Caenorhabditis elegans: one gene and its partner. The protein of the gene in region 1 purifies or fractionates together with the protein of each later gene. This does not show direct contact. Each region holds a gene or a part of one and is shown on either strand. Other genes may lie near its edges.

Evidence for each region.
Region 2: the proteins of T20D4.10 (region 1) and K09D9.1 fractionate together in Caenorhabditis elegans (co-fractionation; one large-scale study listed by BioGRID). This does not show direct contact.

What each region holds. Positions count from the first base shown.
Region 1 is NC_003283.11:3,394,135-3,405,156, reverse strand, and holds T20D4.10 (T20D4.11-like domain-containing protein), read right to left. Parts: upstream 4,906-11,022; 5' UTR 4,903-4,905; coding exon 4,771-4,902; intron 4,715-4,770; coding exon 4,304-4,714; intron 4,259-4,303; coding exon 4,196-4,258; 3' UTR 4,094-4,195; downstream 1-4,093. Other genes in the region: T20D4.11 (T20D4.11-like domain-containing protein), read right to left, coding at 5,768-5,812, 5,864-6,265, 6,312-6,464; T20D4.12 (T20D4.11-like domain-containing protein), read right to left, coding at 7,386-7,445, 7,492-7,902, 7,954-8,082; T20D4.15 (T20D4.11-like domain-containing protein), read left to right, coding at 10,469-10,588.
Region 2 is NC_003283.11:4,023,094-4,030,603, reverse strand, and holds K09D9.1 (DUF4130 domain-containing protein), read right to left. Parts: upstream 5,558-7,510; 5' UTR 5,501-5,557; coding exon 5,478-5,500; intron 5,432-5,477; coding exon 5,100-5,431; intron 5,036-5,099; coding exon 4,573-5,035; intron 4,524-4,572; coding exon 4,463-4,523; 3' UTR 4,392-4,462; downstream 1-4,391. Other genes in the region: cyp-35A3 (CYtochrome P450 family), read right to left, coding at 6,184-6,309, 6,356-6,842, 6,902-7,012, 7,064-7,366, 7,409-7,510.

The DNA of each region.
Region 1 (11,022 bases):
CATTATATAATTGAAGAATCCACCAATATCTTCAGTATCATTCTTGATTTTATAGTCTTCCAAATTCACCTCGCCGCCCAGTGGATTGCAAAACTTTTCCTGAAAGGAATTGTTATACTGTATATTCTTGTTTCATCTCAAATTCCGTACCGCTTCAGCAAACATTCGATCACCAGGGCGACACCCATAGAGTGAACTGAACAATGGATACTGGCGAACTGCAGTGTTGATGGATATTTCAAAGGGATGATGATGTGGTAGAATTGAGTTTTTTGGTTTGCCTTGGATGCATAATCCGCCCAAAATTGTCTCAAGCGCATTTTTCAGCTGAAATATGTAATTTTTGACGGTGAGATGCTTTCCGGGAACCAGCTCTAATTATGAGTACCTGATTGGGTGATCTACACAAATCAATGAAATATGCTTTGTTTCACTCTTGTGCTTGTAACAAATACATTGACGTATTTTAATTCCCCTGGTTTAATTGGTAATTCCTAGGGTTTTAGAAAAGGGCAATTTTTTTCAATGAACTTGGTCGCAGGTTGCCGAAAGCTTTAGCGTCCGACAACTTTGTCTGCATGTTCCTACCTAATTTATTAACAATGTATCTAGAAAACCTGCTAAAACATATCCTACCTGCTCTTCATTCACCGATTTCTTTGCCGCCATCTTCATAACCATCCTTAATCCCATTATGTTTGCTAAATCTTCATGAGTGACCTTTTTACTGAACCATCCATCTATTGGTTTCTGAAATCGGCAATTTTAGTGAAGCACATATGTGAAAAAAGTAGAAATTTGCTAGCTCACCACGGCATCAGAGTCACCCATCATCTTGACTTCATCTTGTGTACACTTGTTTGCTGCTTTTGTAACATTAGGAGTCAGTAACTCTGTTCCGCTTGGATAGACAAAGTGCATGAGCTCATGGGCAAGCACGGAAAAGGTGTCGGCTATCTGGAAAAATACGAAACAGCCTTGGTATTTCCCGGCAATTTTCAAGCCGTCAGAATTTCAGATTTAAAAAACCGTTAGCCAACAAAAAGGATTAACACCCATGACTGACATAAACATCAAAATTAATGTTGAATATTCCCTTACCGCTAACATGGGTTGTTGTAAATCATTTCGAGGGACAATTCCACTGTAAATAGCTGAGTTGTGCTTAAACGCTTCATTTTCCGTATTCGACGCAAAAGCTGAGAACAAAAACTCCGGTTCATAGCCCGGAATTCGTTTTGCCAAGTACTTTGTCGCGGTATCAATGGCTCCTAAACGGAGGATTTTCTCCGCAATTTCAGTGTCAAGATCACTGAAATCAAATTCTAAAAGTTGGTCTTCAATATTCTACTTACTCTGGTGGCAATAAACTTTTGAGTCGTTAATATTCCGTCTCGTAAATGAGTTTAGTTTCCTCTAGTATTGTGACATTATTATAATCCAAAAGTCCAAAAAATACTTTTGAATTTTCCAGTTTTTTTTGTCAAACTCTTTTTTACTTTCATCAGAGAAAGAACTGCTCCAAATCTCCTCGATAGTATTATTTTTTAACATATTGAAGATATGATGAAGAAATTTGTTTTCTTCGGAGGCTGGGAGATTAAGCTGGTTGAGGACCTCAATATTGGCGTAGAGAGAATTGTAGAAAATATTTGTCAACTGGAATATAAAAAATATTGAAAATGTAGTATGTGAAATTCGCTCTCAAATTGTTATTAGAAAACTAAATTCTTTCCAAAAAATATTACATTTTCTCTTTAGAGTTAGAAGAAAATCCAATTCACTCGCTTTTTTTGAAACTAGGGCTAGCAAAAATATTTTATCGTGAAATTTGACATATTCTTAAAATTTACGGGATTTTCTTACCGTCAGATTAACGTTTTTCAGGGTCTCCACCATAAAACTGAATTTCTCAGAATTGTTCTTCTTTTTAATATATTCGTAATGCGTTTCGAAAAAATATTCCATATCCACAATGGCCGTATCCAATGATTTGACTGTCATATACCATTTCATTAAGCGATCCGGCTCAAGAATTTGATTTAATGTGGTGTAGGAACCGTTATTCGAAAATGAGATGTTCGGATTCTGGAAAATTGTTGGGTACTATTATATGAATGGCTGGGAGCCTACTACCAGTATCTCACGATCCTCGAATAAACTTGTGAAGTTAAGCTTAGTGATGCTTCTGGTGTCATTTGAGCACACATAATCATAGAAGTCGTTGCAAGGATCCAGACTAGCATTCTGAATACATTTTATAGTTTTTAGTTTGTTTACCAAAGTTTGTCAGAAAATTTTTCGGGTCAATCTGAATTTGCAATACTTGTTTTTTTTTAACAAACCATTTTCAAAAAAAGAAAAAAACGATTGCCGTCAACTCACTCATGTTCAAAATAACATAGATTTAATTTTAAAAATCCAGAAAAAATCAAAAAATTCAATAATTCAGTGTGAAAACCTACCTCTTGGTTACTCTGCACGCTTATAGTCACAATTAGTGTCAGTACCAACAGGAAGTTCATTCTCAGTTAGTATTAAGAACAAAATGTGAAAAGGCATGTGTTCATTTGTACGCCACATGTCGCAGCAACCTTTTTCTTCAAACTTCTCCCAATGTCAAATGTATCTCTAAATCACCAAGATCCAGACCAATTGATCCTGACCAATACAAAAAAGAGAGTTGATATAAGTTCCGATTTTTTTGAACTGGTGGAATAGTTTTATTTCAGTAACTAATTCAAAATTAAAATAAAATTAAAGTATGACAGTTCTGAGGGTCGTGGCTTTTGTGTTGGTTTCAGTTGCAGTGTTTGAATTGGCTTGTAGCTTTCAACTTCTGAAATTAAACAAAAATAATTTTTTGGAACACTACAGCGCTGAAACTCACATTAAACAACTGCTGGGATTCCGGCTCTCCACACGTTTCGCTGACCAACTTCTTCACGCAATTTTCTTTTCCAACCATGTTTTTGCACAGTTCCCCCATTTCGTCTGTGGTTTCGTCCTCTCCACTTAATACCAAATCATAAAATGGTTTCCACTCTTTGAAACACTCGGGAACTGGTTTCAAGTTTCCCAACTTTGCAAGACAGGGATTGAAGTCTGTGGATAAGAAGTTCATGATCTCACAGGACTCCCTAACTTGTTTTCCTGTGGAGTTGTCTTGCTCTTTTTCACACTCAACAAGGTCAAGACATGTGTGGAAGTGCACGATTTTGTAAATATGGAAGTGCACGATTTTGTAAATTTCTCCAGGCTCTTCTGCTTCAAATCGACAAAGAACAATCTTGCACTGAATTCTCCTAATCGCTGTAAACAGATTATTCCAATGAGCTAGAAATTTCAAAAAATCTTACATAAAGGCAAGCCAACAACTTTTTTAAAGTGACTTCCGTGCAATTTGTTCCAGTTCCCGACTCGATAATACTTGTTTCATTGTTTGGAACCTGGTTTTCCGCAAATGCAAGAAGAAGTGCTCCAAGTATAGCAAGCTTGAACAAAAAGCTCATTTTCTGAAAATCATAAGGAATGGACAACTTGTTTCAAAACCGAAAAAAGTTAAATGATAAAAAAAAAGCGATGCGACCTATCCCAGAAAACATAGTTTTCTGACGGTGGTTTAACATTCTTTTTCCTGGACGCCAATTGTCAATGCTTTACAAACGGGGTCAAAATGTTTGGGGAAACATGACATGTGATGTGAAACAGTGGATTTGTCCACCGTACACAAGTCAGATAAAAATACGTTCAATTGCGAAAGTGCGGAAGAAGGGAGCCTGGTTCCGAGAAGTAGCAAGGGAAGCGATCATAAATTGAAAAGGCTGGTAGTGTCAGATAAAACAAGTTTAAATGCTGGCGAGGACTATTTCCATTTAACAACATTTCCGGAAAAAAAATTTGGTTCTCGAGATACGGTCGAATCAGTAACGTTGTCAAAAACGGGCTCACGAGATTTCGGCCGCTGTATTTTTTGTCATGAAATTTGTAAAAAACTCAAACAACCGAATACCAGTAGGCGCAATTATGAGCAATACTTCACCAGTTAAACTTTTCTCGATAACATTTATAGTTTTTAAGTTGTGCTCGTTTGGAAAATTTGTAAATTTATCAAAAATCAAAAATGGGATTTGTTTTTGGCCAGGAATTTTAGAAACTCTGAAATATTTAACGCAAAAAAAAACAAATAAATTATTTAATTGAATCTGCTGAAGTCACAAGTAGTGTCGACAAATCCTCCAGCGATGGTGATGAAATGCTAAAAATGAACGATATTTTAGCGAAATTATCTAGAAGCTTTTACCTTTCGGAAGGAGTCCCATTCTTGTTGGCCACATGTTTCTTTGACTTCCTTCATCATGCAGTCGTCTTTTCCGAAATATCTCTTACAAGTCTCACTTCTTGACTTGGCAACTTTTATTGGATCTGTTTCATCTTGGAGTTTGTCTGGCATTGGATCCCAGTCATCAAAACATTTTGATTTCTTCGCATTCAATTTGTCACTACAGGCGGCAAAATCATCGTGAACGTAGTCCATAGCTTTGCAATACTTTATAACAACCTTCATTTCTGGAATTTTCTCTCCATCTGTTCCCAAGCATTTGATTTTGTTGAAACAACTGATTACGTTATGGCAATCATCCTTGAATACTTTTAGCTCCTTTTTGTCATTCATGTCGAGGTTGTCAGTTTTTTTGATGAAATCGGACAGACCCTGAATTTGGAATTTATAATAAATTATTGAGTTGCTTGAAGATAAAGACTACTCACCATGATGCAAGAAAATGCCCTAAGTGATTCTCCATCAGTACAACCAGCGTCTTCTGCTCCAGTCGCAACTGCTTTATGGGCCACTCCCAAGAACACAGTGCCAATAATGGCAAGTTTGAGGAATCCTATCATTTTCTGAAACAAAATTTATATTGAAAGTTGATAAAAGTGAAAAAAGTAAGAATGAAGATTTCCAATACGGTGAGCTCTATTTAAACGATTTAAAAGATGATATTCTGCCAACTGTCGTTGTTCCTGGAATAGCTCAAAAAGAGTTTCTGATGCTTGTCAATCGCACACTTGTTCCACCAAAATGAAATTTGTACATTGAAACCTATCCCTTGATTCACCATAAACATGTTGATGCCGGAATTGTTTGACCCCAAGAAACCTCAAAATTACACTAAGAACAAAAGATAGCAAGTGCTTTCTTTTGCTTCCTTTTTCCAGAAATTGTCATCCGAATGAGATTGAACGGAAAAGACAGGCGTGCAATGTTAGAGACCATCCCAAAAATTAATTGTCAGAAACATTCAGTCACTGGTGCGGTGTAAAATATATTTGTTCATCAGAATGATGCAGTAAAGATCCAAAACAAGAATAATTTGCTTATTTTGCAATAGTTTATTGCTAACTCAGAGTAATTCAAATATTATGTTCCTGTTACAAGTGACTCTTTTTTAGGTGAAGACTAGAAATTTTACATTAAAAAATTAAAATTGGAAATTTCTGGTACACTCACTATAATTGCATTTTATTACAAGAAATACAGTTTCGTCAAAAAAGTCCTCAAAAACAACTTCAAAGTTTATTAGTGTAACATATAATTTTTACAAGTTTGAAGTAAATTTTCCTCTGAAAACAGTACTTTTTGAAACATAAATTTCAAGAGAAAAAATTCAAAATTATTCAAATGTAAACGTTAGTTGTTTAGCATGAAATAACTGTTGTTTAATTGTTTAGCAAAGAAAATGAAGGATTCAAATGTCCGCTAAATTTAGTCAGCGTCGCATTGTTTGAAAACGGATGTTTCTTCAAAACGCTGAAATTTTCAAAATTCAATTTCTCTGCTAACTACAAAGCTGAAGCTTACATCGACCAACTCTTGCGACATGGCTCCTCCACAAGTTCTGCCGACTAGATCCTTCATGCAATTGTCTTTTCCAAGCATATTTTTGCACAATTCCTCCATTTCCTCTGGGGTTGTGTCAGGTCCAACTTCATTCAAATCATAAAATGGTTTCCACTTCTTGAAGCACGTAGGTGCTGGATTCAATTTTTCCAATCTTCTAAGACAGGGAACGAAATTTTTGGATAAGTAGTTCATGACATCACAAGAGTCCTTGATTCTTTTGCCTCTTGAAAATTTGCCAGTTTCTTTACACTCGATAAGATCGAAACATGTAGCCATTGAAACGCACGATTTTCTAAATTTATCCAGAGTCCTCTGCTCTAAATCCAGAAAAAGTACTTTTTTCAAAAATCCTCCAAATTCCTGTAAAACAATTATTCACCTGGGCTAGTTATTTCTAAAAACTTACCCAAACGCAACCGGCCATTCTTTTAAAAGTGACTTCTGGGCAATCTCTAATTCTTCTTCTCTCCAACTCACTTGCTTCATTGTATCCATCATCCCCATAAGCGAGTGCAAGTAGGACTGATGCGAGCAGAGCAAGTTTGAAAAAACCCCTCATTTTCTGCAATTAAAAATAATTCAACAGTTTTTTTAAAAAACAGGGAAAATAGTGAAAAACTAATCGAAAAATGAGAGAACCTATCCCACTGCGAGAGAACATAGTTTTCTGACGGTGGTTCTTTTTCCCTGACGCCAACTGTTAAAGTTCCACAGGGTCAAAATGTTTGGGACAAATGACATGTGATGCAAAACTGTGGATATGTTAGCGTGTCAGATAAAAATAAGATCTATCGCGGAAGTGAGTAAGAAGGGATCCTGGTTCCAAACAGATCCGAGAGAAGCGATTAGAAATCGAAAAGACGTTAGAGCTCATCGGGGCTGTGCGGCATCCGAGATTTTCGGCAACCGGCAACCAGGTTTCAAGGTTTTGACGTTGGTCGAACATATATTTTTGTTGAAATTATATGTATATTTGAACCTTTTGAAAGAAAGTATGGTCGTTTTTTTTTAAATTTACTGTGAAATGTTAGCATTTTTCAGGCTCTCTGAATGCTTCTTTCTGATTGTGAGCTAAAAATGTTTGACATTGATATCGGCAATTGCCGAGGTTGCCGAGAAAAAAGAACTCGGCAACTGCCGAAGTTGCCGAACCCCAAAAATTTCGGCAATTGCCAAAGTTGCCGGACGCTGAAAACTTCGGCAACTTTTTAGCAACCGGCAATATGGTCGATTACAAATAAATTTCCACGAATTTTATTGTTTACATACGTTTTGAGTATTATATATTATAGCGTTGAAAATTGGCAAAATTACCACTTTTTCTGTAAATTTTTTTTAAAAGAACGTTCGAAAAGTTTTATTAGGATATTTGGCCATCTTGGGAGCATAATAGTGGTATTTTGCAGTAAAGACAAAAATGCAGGAGTAGCCGGTAAGAGAACTTCAGAAACATTTAATTAAAAAAAAGAACACATAAAATTTAATTCAATCTGCTGAAGTCACAAGTGTCGACAAATCCTCCTGCGATGTTAATGAAATGCTGAAAATGAACGATATTCTAGCGAAAATATCTAAAAGCATTTTACCACTCTGAAGGCGTCCCATTCTTGTTGTCCACATGTTGCCTTAATTTCCTTCATCATGCAGTCGTCTTTTCCAAAATATATCTTGCAAGCCTCACTTCTTAACTGCTCTTTTTTTATTGGATCTTTTTCGAAATGAACTTTGTTTGGAATTGGGTCCCAGTCATCAAAACATGTTGATTTCTTTGCATTCAATTTGTCACTACACTCGGCAAAATTATCGTGTACGTAGTCCAATGCTTTGCAATACTTTCCAACAACCCTAAGCTTCGGTATTTGATCTCCATTTTTGCCCAAACATTTGATTTTGTTGAAACAACTGAGTACGTTATGGCACTCCTCCTTCAATTCTTTTACCTCCTTTTTGTCATTCATGTCGAGTAGTTCAGTTTTGTTGATAAAAGGGGGAATACGCTAAATTTAAATATTTCGAATTAATAAGATACATAGATTAATACAACTCACCATGGCACAAAAAAGTGACCTAAGTGACTCTTCTTCAGTACACACAAGGATTTCTTCCTCCGCAAATGCTGCATTAGCCACTTCTAAAAACACAGTGCCAATGACAACAAGTTTGAGGAATCCTATCATTTTCTGAAACAAAATTTATATTGAAAGTTGATAAAAGTGAAAAAAGTAAGAATGAAGATTTCCAATACGGTGAGCTCTATTTAAACGATTTAAAAGATGATATTCTGCCAACTGTCGTAGTTCCTGGAATACCAAAGAGAAAAGTTTCCTGATGATTGTGGATCGCACATTTGTTCCACCAAAATGAAATTTGTACATTGAAACCTATCCCTTGATTCACCATAAACATGTTGATGCCGGAATTGTTTGACCCCGAGAAGTCTAAAAATTACACTAAGAACAGAAGATACAGCAAGTGCTTTCTTCTGCTTTATTTCTTTTTTCCAGCAATTGCCATCCCGAGGAAATTGAACAGCGAAGACAGGCGTGCGATGTTAGCGACTTTTTCCTAGTTGAACATCTAACTCGGTACAAGCTACACAAACTATTTTTTAAAAGTGTTATCCGATTCCAAATCAAATTCAAAGATCGCGACCCTACTAGGAATCTCATTCATTTTGTTTGCCTGATATGTTCTGTTCAGAACTTCCTGGTACTCTCACTGAATCGCACTTGCAAGTATTACTACGCAATTGGACTGCTTATTTCGCACGGTTTGTTTTTTCATATAACTGTTGGTGCTGCTGAGTTTGCAGTCACTTCCATTTTCCGTTTGCTCTACTACTTCTACCCATGATTGTTCAAGCCGATCAGAAAAGTTTGAAAGTTTGAGATCTGCATAGAGTTTGCCTATCTGCGATCTTTGATAGAAAAATGTGCACCAGGGAGGGATGTCTGTCTGCTACCTCCAGTAACACTCGTTTGGCCGACAATTGCTAAAAAATTACGAAAAAGAACTCACTATCATCCGTTCAGTGTAATCTCGGAGTTGATTCGGGTCACAAAGCTCCACCCTCTGCATGTTTATGGTACGAGTGAAAGAAGAGATTTTAATACAAACGTGTGAGCCCCTTAACTTGTCTTGAGCTTCTCGAAAATCCAAGACAGTTGCCACATTGTCTTTTCAATCGCTCATACCTCCAGTAGATCTCAGCCCAGTAGAAATCTTCACTTTTTTCCGTCTCCGTTCTTCAAATATTTCTTGATTTTTTTGTTTTTTTTTCAGAAAATGATAAGTTTTCTTCAATTTGCCGCCATTGGAACTATTATCTTAGGAGTGGCCCATGGAGCTCCTGCTGATCTCAAACCCAACTGCACTGGTGAAACACCCGATGAACTTTTTTGCCGCTTTGTAAGTGATTTTGATTCATTCACTTTATAAGTAACCTTGTTCGATGTTCAGCGCCTGACTGAGTTCACCGGAAAAATCGACAAGCTTAATATGAATAACAAAGATGAGCTGAACGAATTCAAGACGTCTTGCGATTCTCTGCAGAAATGCTTCGCCAATCTCACATGTTCTTTACAAAATGAGAAAGGAGAGTCAGCGCTGAAGACTGTGGAAAAGTATTGCGATGCTCTTGTGTACTTACACACGGATTTTGCCAAGTGTAGTGAGAAATTGAACGCGAAGAAATCTGAATGTTTCGATGACTGAGACCCGGTTCCAAATGGAATTCATTCAACACTGGACCAGAATAAAATTGATCAATTGAAAAAGGACACATGTAAGACATATTTTGGAAAGGATGACTGTCTCAAGAAGGAAATCATTGAAACTTGTAGCCAACAAGAATGGAATAAGTTCCGTGAGGTATACTATATAGATTTTTTAATTAAAAAATTTTTGGTAATTTTCAGCAATTTGTCAATCTTTCTTACATGCTTGTCAGTGAATGCGACTTTAGCAGACTCGGATAAATCATCGAGAACTTTGTTTAATAAATTGGCTTACTATTAGATTTTTTTCAGTTTTAAATTCTCATTACGAGTAAAATAAAGTGGTTTTTGTGTGTGTGCAAAAGGTAGTTATTTGAAGCGGCCGACACGTTCGAAGTCCCGCAGCTTGGCGTGAAATGAGTAGCCTGGCGTGTGCTCAACGTAGTGCGAAGAGGTAGTTGTTTGGAAGCGGCCGACACGTTCGCGGTTCCGCGCCGCAGGCCGGCGAAGGCGCCGTTGCGGCGACCTCGTGGGAGCCCTATTAATCAAAGCTATTAGGAGTTAAGTAGCATTTAAGAAAAAGCTTTCTATCAGTAGTTTTTAGTGTAATCTTGAGATATCTTGGGGTCGAAAAGTTCCGGCACAGACCAGTTGTTGGGATGAGTAAAACATGGGTTGCGTCTCAATCGACAGCTCAAACATTGAACTTCAGGGAAAAAATACGACAGTTGCCACAGTGTTCAATATCATCTTTTCAAACGTTTATAAACAGACATGCCCCGTGGAAATCTTCAGTCACTTTTTTCCCGTCTACCGAGATACTTTTTGACCGTTGCTTTAGAGAAGGATGAGTATCCTCCAACTTGCCGTCATTGGCACCATGCTGCTCGGATTAGTCCATGGATCTTCTGATGCTGGGAACGGCACTAAATGTAGTGATGGAGTGGTTGGCATTGTGTGTGGAAAGGTAAGTTTCTTTCCAATTATCAAACTAATACCTTTAAAAAAATTCGGAAAATTTCTTTTTTTATTTTTTAATATTTTTTAAATTTCTTTTATTTCTAGTCAAAAAAACATCGAAAACTCAGTTTTTTAGGAAGCCACGTTTAAAAAAGTAAAGTTTGAACTAGGGCTCCCAGCTGAGTGAGGCTCGAAATGCGGGCCTCACGCTGCTGTGCGTGTGCAATGAAGTGCTCAAGGTAGTTGTTTGGAAGCGGCCGACACGTTCGGGGTTCCGCAGCTTGGTGTGTGCGCAACGTAGTGCGAAGAGGTTGTTTGTTGTTCGGAAGCTGCCGACACGTTCGGGGTTCCGCGCCGTACTGTACATGCGGCTTGAGTGACGCTGTGAGGCCGGCACAGGCGCCGTTGCGGCGACCTCATGGGATCCCCAGTTTGAACTTA
Region 2 (7,510 bases), 620 kb from region 1:
GTTTTAAATCTTATTATTTTTGCTATGAGAAGCGAGACAAATAAAAAGTTTTTGGCCATGAGTTCCTCGAGCCCCGTTCCTGAAGTTGTGAGCTTCAAGCCTTGCTCCAGAGGCTTTTTTTTTCATTCTTCACCAATTTCCAAAATTTCAAATGCTATCATATTCTCCTTTTAACGTTGACTTCAAATATATACTTTTCATTTTTCAATTCCAATTGTGAGCGGAGCTACGGCGCTTTCAAGGTTCAGCAGTGCCCGCCCGCCCCCTCTTGCCTCCCCTTTCTCTTGCCTCCTCCCTCTCCACAGAGTCTCCAGTGATGCATGTAGGCTGGCTGTAAATATGGTCTCTAATTACTGTTACAGGATCTCACTTTGAAGGGAGATACAGGCGGGAGATACAGTTCGTTGAAGGGTTGGCTGCCAACACATCGCCACCCCACCAGGGCTGAGCGGCTGGCTGATTTTTTCGGCTGTCGGCTGGCGCCGACAGCCGATTGACTTCAATTTTTCGGCTGTCGGCTGGTGGCACCAGCCGAAAATAGTGAAAATTTCGGCTGTCGGCTGGCGCAGCCAGCCGACTTTTTTTTGTTTTATCTAGGCGGCTCACTGTTAAGCATTAGACCACTATTTTCCTTAGTTTTAAATGGATTATTCCGCATTTACAACCGCACAGTGTGCGGTTGTCTCCCCCCTTCTTCCCACAGGTCCACAACGCCCCCTGCCGGCAGCACTCTATAGGAGACGATCTCTAATGGTGTCTCCCCTGTCTATGTCTCTGCCGTATATCTCACTGTCTCCCCCTCTCTCTCTCTCTCTCTTTTCTCATGGGAAACGCCGGGTCAGCAGTCTCCGTTACTGCAAATGTTATCAAATTTAAAACATAGAAACGCGAATTTTCTGTAAGAACTGGACGAATTTTCTGTAAAAAACTGGAAAAAAATTTAAAGCTACCAGCCGACAAAAAGCTGGTTCGGCTGTCGGCTGGCGCCGCCAGCCGACTTCTTTTAATTTTTCGGCTGGCGCTACCAGCCGAAAATCGTGAAAATTTCGGCTGTCGGCTGGCTGCGCCGTTTTTACTTCATCAGAAAGAACACATTCTCTTTCCTATTTGTAGGGATAGTGGAAGACAAAAAAAACAATATGGATTTAAAATCAGGGCTTCGCCCCGATTTTAATAAAATATAAGACAAGCGGGCCCTGCGGGCCCGCCAGTTGCAGGGGGTGTAGGGCGAGTCCCCCAGTCGGACGTAGGTTCTCGGCTTCGCCTCGAACCTGCCAGAGGGTTCGTGACAATTGCAGTGAGCCAATGGGAGGAGAGGAGACCCACTCATATTTTGCTTAAAATCGAGCATTTCTATTCGAATCCCGATTACCCAAAAAAAATTTGTCAGTTGGGGGAATCGAGCCAACGAGCAAAATATTCACAGCCATACGCACTAACCACTCGGCCATGCGGGAGAGACCCGGCAGGGAGATGCAGGGAAGGGAAATTTCTGGAGGGAGTCGTTTTTCGATTCCGCTTTCTTCAATAATTACATTTTGAGAAAAGGCGTTCGAAAACCGTTTATTACTGATATGTCAGCGGGAAAACGAATTTTTGAAAATTTTATTACAGGATTGTACTCATTATTGATTTCCCAAAAAGGAGACGTACAGTTGAGGGCTATATCTTGTACACAGACAGATGTATAGAAAAAAAACAAGTTTTGGCCTGAAAATTAATAAAAATAATATCTCTTGGCAGAGTGTTTCTAATGCGACGAAACTTCATCTTCCATCAAATAAAATCAAAAACTATGAATTAAAAATACATTCCGCAAAACTTTAGTGGAAAAAATGTTCAGGAGACGCAGGAAACCACTCCCCCCAGTACTAAATTTTTGAATTATTTTTTTCTTGAAAAATTTTCCCACTGAACTTTTTACAAATTTTATATGTCTCGATGCGTCTTGATGAGACCTACACGTCAATTTTTGGAAAACTAAGAAAACTTGAAAACTGACCGTGTTATGATTGAAAAAGTAGATTCGCGAAAATGAGAAAGTGTGCAAAATGTGGCACTTATTCGCCTTGCTCGGCCGACTCATAAAAGTTTTCTTAATTCTGAGTTGAAAATCGTGTTCAGCGTACTTTTTTACGTGGGGTAGAAAAAAAAAGTATCGAAAAAGATGAAGTAGAACTTGAGATAAAGACGAAAAACTACTTTTTCGGAAAAAAAAATTTTTTTGGCAAAATGGCATTTTTTGGCCTTTTATTTTATCACAACTTTTTGCCTTTTGCACTTATGAACTCAAACTTTTTTTCAAAAAATCCACCTCTCTGAGTAGTATCTTGCACATAAATTTGGAACAAAACCGAGCAAAACCCGAATTTTAATTCAATTAAAACATGGTTTTTGGGGGTAAAAAGAGCAACAAAATTTTTTTTCAAACTGGGGAAAGCCGTCCTGAGCTCAGTTTTGCTCCAAACTTTGTGCAGTTTTTTGCTCCCCCGTGGGGTGAAATATTTCTAGTAAGCTGTCAAATATTATAAAATTCAGTCAAACGGCTCTGGAGTTATTAATGAAAACGAAGTGTGACATTTTTTCGCAAGCCAAAAAAAAACGCGAAAAAACGCGAAAAAGGGGCGGAGTCGCCACACTCGGCATTTATTAGAGGCTGCTTGGCAGAAACCCTCTTAAAAAGTTACAAGAAGGTTTTTCCTTGCGCTTGGAGCGCAAAAGAACAGAAAAAGAGCTATTTAGTCTTAGGGTGCCCAACTGGAATAAAACATTGGAAATCCCAATCCAACCAGCCTAAGGGCCCGAAAAACATACTAGGTACATACTGCCCAACTGGAATAAAATATTGGAGATCCTTATGACACACCGGCGGTATGGCGCGGCTTAAGCCTAAATAGCCACTTTTATCAAAATAAATTTGAGCGAGGCGGTTGTAAACTATTCGTTCTTTAGCAAAAATTAAAAAAAAAACTTTATTTAAATTTAAAAATAAATATCATATGTTATCACACCTTAGAATATCACGCCTTAATTTAGTAATCATTTTAGTTCATAAGTGTGAGAGAAAGAAAAATGGATTAATCATCGGAATTAGATATTATCAGAGTGATTATATTCATCAAAGGTCCCACTTTACTGGAGGGTTAATTTGGTTGATATAAACTTCCTATCTCATGTAAAGAAAGGTTCGAATTATGTACCTATGAATACTGCCGATATTTGAATTCCTGTCTCATGGGAAGAAGGCCTTTCTTGTGGGAAGAACGGAGTTATAAAAAAATATACGTAGGTACAGAATTTGAACTTTTCTTCCCATGAGATAGGAATTTGAATATTGGCATTCTATAACTTCACTAAGAAAAAAAATCTCCAGAGGTTGATCGCAAATATGTAGAGATTGCTCGCATCCCTTCAAATATTACAAAATTTCCAAGTTTCTTAGAAATAATCTTCATTTAGATTACTGAAAAATATCCACAGATTACTTTTGAGTTGCCTGAGAAGTTATTGTAAAACGCAAGGCGAGCTGTTGGTACAGAATTTGAACTTTTCTTCCCATGAGATAGGAATTTGAATAATGGCATTCTATAACTTTACTAAGAAAAAATATCCCCAAAGGTTGCTCGCTTCCCTCCAAATATTACGAAATCTCCAAGTTTCTCAGTAATCTATAGTTTTCATTTAGATTACTGAAAAATACACACAGATTACTTTTGAGTCTGAGAAGTTATTGTAAAACGCAAGACGAGCTCAAATGTATTTTGATAAAAGTGGCTATTTAGGCTTAAGCCGCGCCATACCGCCGGTGTGTCATAAGGATCTCCAATATTTTATTCCAGTTGGGCATCCTAGTTTTTTTTTTCGGGCCCTTAGGCTTAAGTGTGTCATAAGGATTTCCAATATTTTATTCCAGTTGGGCATCCTAGTATGTTTTTCGGGCCCTTAGGCTGGTTGGATTGGGATTTCCAATGTTTTATTCCAGTTGGGCATCCTAAGACTAAATAGCTCTTTTTTTTTTCTTTTGCGCTCCAAGCGCAAGGAAAAACCTTCTTGTAACTTTTTAAGAGGTTAGGCTTAGGCTTAGACATAAGCTGAGGCTCTGGTTCAGGCTTTGGCTTAATCTTAGACTTAAGTTTAGGCTTAAGTTTAGGCTTAACCTTAAGCTTAGGTCTTTTTTTCTGGAAAGGAAAAATTATAACAAATTTCAGGCTATATCAATTCCAGCGGCTAGAATTCACCAAGTGCCACCGTCGTCAATATTTTGGAAAATTACAATTTTAACTTCCTGCCAAAATGCAGTGAAAATCTAACAGTAGATTTGTATGCCTAATTCATATGGTGCTATTAAAAAAATTAAATATATTTTTAGTTGTAAAGAGAACAAAATTCAAGAAAATTTTTAAACATAATTTATTAAACCCGTAGTTTTGTAAACCTGCAAAAATAAAATAAATATGTTGAATCAAGCCTTCTTCCTTTTGACCATTACATATTTATCAACGAGATGATCCTCCAAATTGTAGCTGAAAATTTAAATTTTAAGATATGTAGTTCTCGATAACGCAAACTTACCACTTTTCAGAAACCGCCACACTAATAGAACCTGTATCTTCTTCTTCTTCCCACTCATGAAGCTCATCCCATTCATGATCTTCAAGAGCATCATAAGTGATAGCTTCGTAGGTATCCTCAGTGATAAGTTGATACCAATCAACTGAGTAGAGCTCGGAGTAATACCAATTTTTCTTCTTGGTTGAGCATGGATTAAAATACTTTGCAACTTTTTTCTCGTAAATTTGATGAGGCTTTATCAGATGATATGCTACAATAGGTCTTCCCGCAATTTTAGATGTCATTGTTTCGGCTTCTAGATCCTTTGATTTATTCAGAGATCGATTTTTAAATTGGATATCATTAAATTTCTGTCCATGAACAGAATCTACAGCCGTGCACTGATAATATTTGTCATCGAGTATTTTATGCATTTTTTGAATTCGAAACTTTTCAAAGTAGTTGTCTGGGAAACGGAGCCCCGCTGAAAGTTTTGTATTTTGATATTTTGAAAAAAAAAACACAAATTTTAATTAAAAATAACTCACTAAAAAATGGGGCACCTCGAAAATCGATTCTTTCCAACACCACAACATCCATATCATTATACATTTTTTGGAGCTCGCCGAGCATTTTAACAGCCGCTTCAACCTCCCATCGTTTCTTTTTATTCAGAGAATACTGAACATATGGCTGAATATCTTGACTAAAAACTGTTCGGTCCAGTTCTTCCTGTCGCTTTTTCGAGCATTGTCCTTCTCCGAAATCCATGTGATAAGTTTTCAAAAGAACTAAATTGGTTTCAATGTAGCGCATTTTCATATGACAACCTGCGTTGAAATCGTGATCTTTTTCAATATCCGGGCGGCCATTTTTTCTCCTGAAACATGAAAAATATATAGAGAAAAATATTATAGGATCCTCACCAAAAATACAAATCTTCGTACATACTGACCGCCGGTGACGCTTTTCAAATTTCCATCCTTTTTATACTTCAGTGGCGAAATATTTCGTAATACTTTTTTTTGTTTGTCAACTTTTCCACTCCTCCCCGCGGACGCTTTTACATGACGTTTCGTGAAACTATCAATGACTAATAATGTCATGCAAAAATTCAACTGATTACAAATAAATTGATGTCAAATAGATAAGGTGTCAAACTTTATTCAAATTATTGACATCTCGAGGTTTGATTTAAAATCATATTTTGAGTGACCTAGGGGAACTGCCGAAGTGACAGAAATCACAAAAAAAGTTTATTTTTAATTAATATTTTTTCTGTAACGTTTCCGCAACAGCTGATTACAGTTTTGGCATATTTTATATATGGAACCGGATGTTATTGGTTGCCAAGATTATTTCACAGTTTTGGCGTTTTTCAAACAAATATTCTTGTTGAGCTTATCTGCTGGAGGATTTATAAAAAACATTTCTTCATTTACGATTCTTGCATTTTTCAGGGCAAAAAAAATGCCTGAAACTGGTATCGGCAGTTGCCGAACTCCAAAACTGTTGCCAGCCGGCAATAGCCACAGTTGCCGCAAACAAAAAAAGAATTATTATGAAAATGTTTTTTTCAAGTGTAACTTTTATTTAAACATTCACTACAATTGAAATACTGCAACGATTTATTCAAATTTTTACAAATTTCATTTCCAGCTTGAATGGTCTCCTCCCAGCGCTGTATGGCATCAAATCGGTAGCCGAAAGTTTTCCATGTGGCTCGAATTTATAGCGAAGAAGGAGGTTTCCAAAGATCTAAAAGTACCATGATTATGCAATAAACATAGTTGTGTTTCCTTACTAAATACAATTCTGCTTTTGCCAAAGATTCTCCCAGGCAACTTCTCTTTCCAACTCCGAATGGAATTATTTTCTGTAGAAGCTTCTCATCTTGACTATACCTTTCCGGTTCGAAAACTTGCGGATTTGTAAAATAGGTTTCATTGACATGGAGAGCACTGAGTTGAGCAGTAACAAGAGCTCCAGCATCGACAGGGTGACCGCCTATGTATGTGAATTCTTTGTTGACTTTCCAGAAACTTAAGTTAAGAATTGAGGCATGGCGTTGAATCTCTCCAATCATTGCGTTCAAGTATGGAGTTGATGAACGGTCAGTAAGACTGAGACTTCGAGAACCATTTTCAGTTACGTTCATAAGTTCCTCTCTAGCTTTCACCATAACTTCCGGATGTAGCAAAAGTTGATTGAATCCAGAAGTCAATGTAGTTGTAGTTGTTTCTTGTCCGGTTAACCACAAATCAACTAACATTGTTTTTAAGGTTTCAGTGCTGAAAATAAATACTCGAGTTTGATTTTTTTTTTCTATTTATGGCATTTGATAACTAACTTAAAATCCAGATTCTCTCCTTCTTTCTGCATTTTCAACAGGAAAGCGTCAGTGTAATCTTGGAGATTGTTCTCATCAATCACATATTTTCCAGATTTTATGTCTTCTATTCTTCAAACAAAAAGAATTATTATATGGTTATGGAAAAATGCAAAGACAAACCTTTTGAGCGCTTCTGCAGCTACAAAGTTTTTCGCTATTTCTTGAGCATCCGCCATTTTGTCATAGCGATCCTTGAAGAAAGTTTTCAAAATCCAAACAGGAACGGTAGTATTAAAAGGAGTGATAAGTTTGAAAGATTCATCAATTGTATTTTTAATTCTCAAAAACACATGTTTTGTATCTTCTTCAAATCGTTTGCCAACCAAAATACTGTTGATGACACTTCCAACGGTTAAATCAAAAAATTCGGAGGCTTGTGCTACAGTGACTCCGTTCTTTGCTGATTTATCAATGTCGGAGCATCTGAATGGATATGAACTTAGTAATACTTAGGCAAGTACCTACCTTGCATCAAGTTCTTCCAATATTCTTGTCTCCATGATATCCTTCCCAACCCCCATATTCCGGAAAGTCTGCAGAGAAAATCTCCTCATTTCTTGCCAGTGA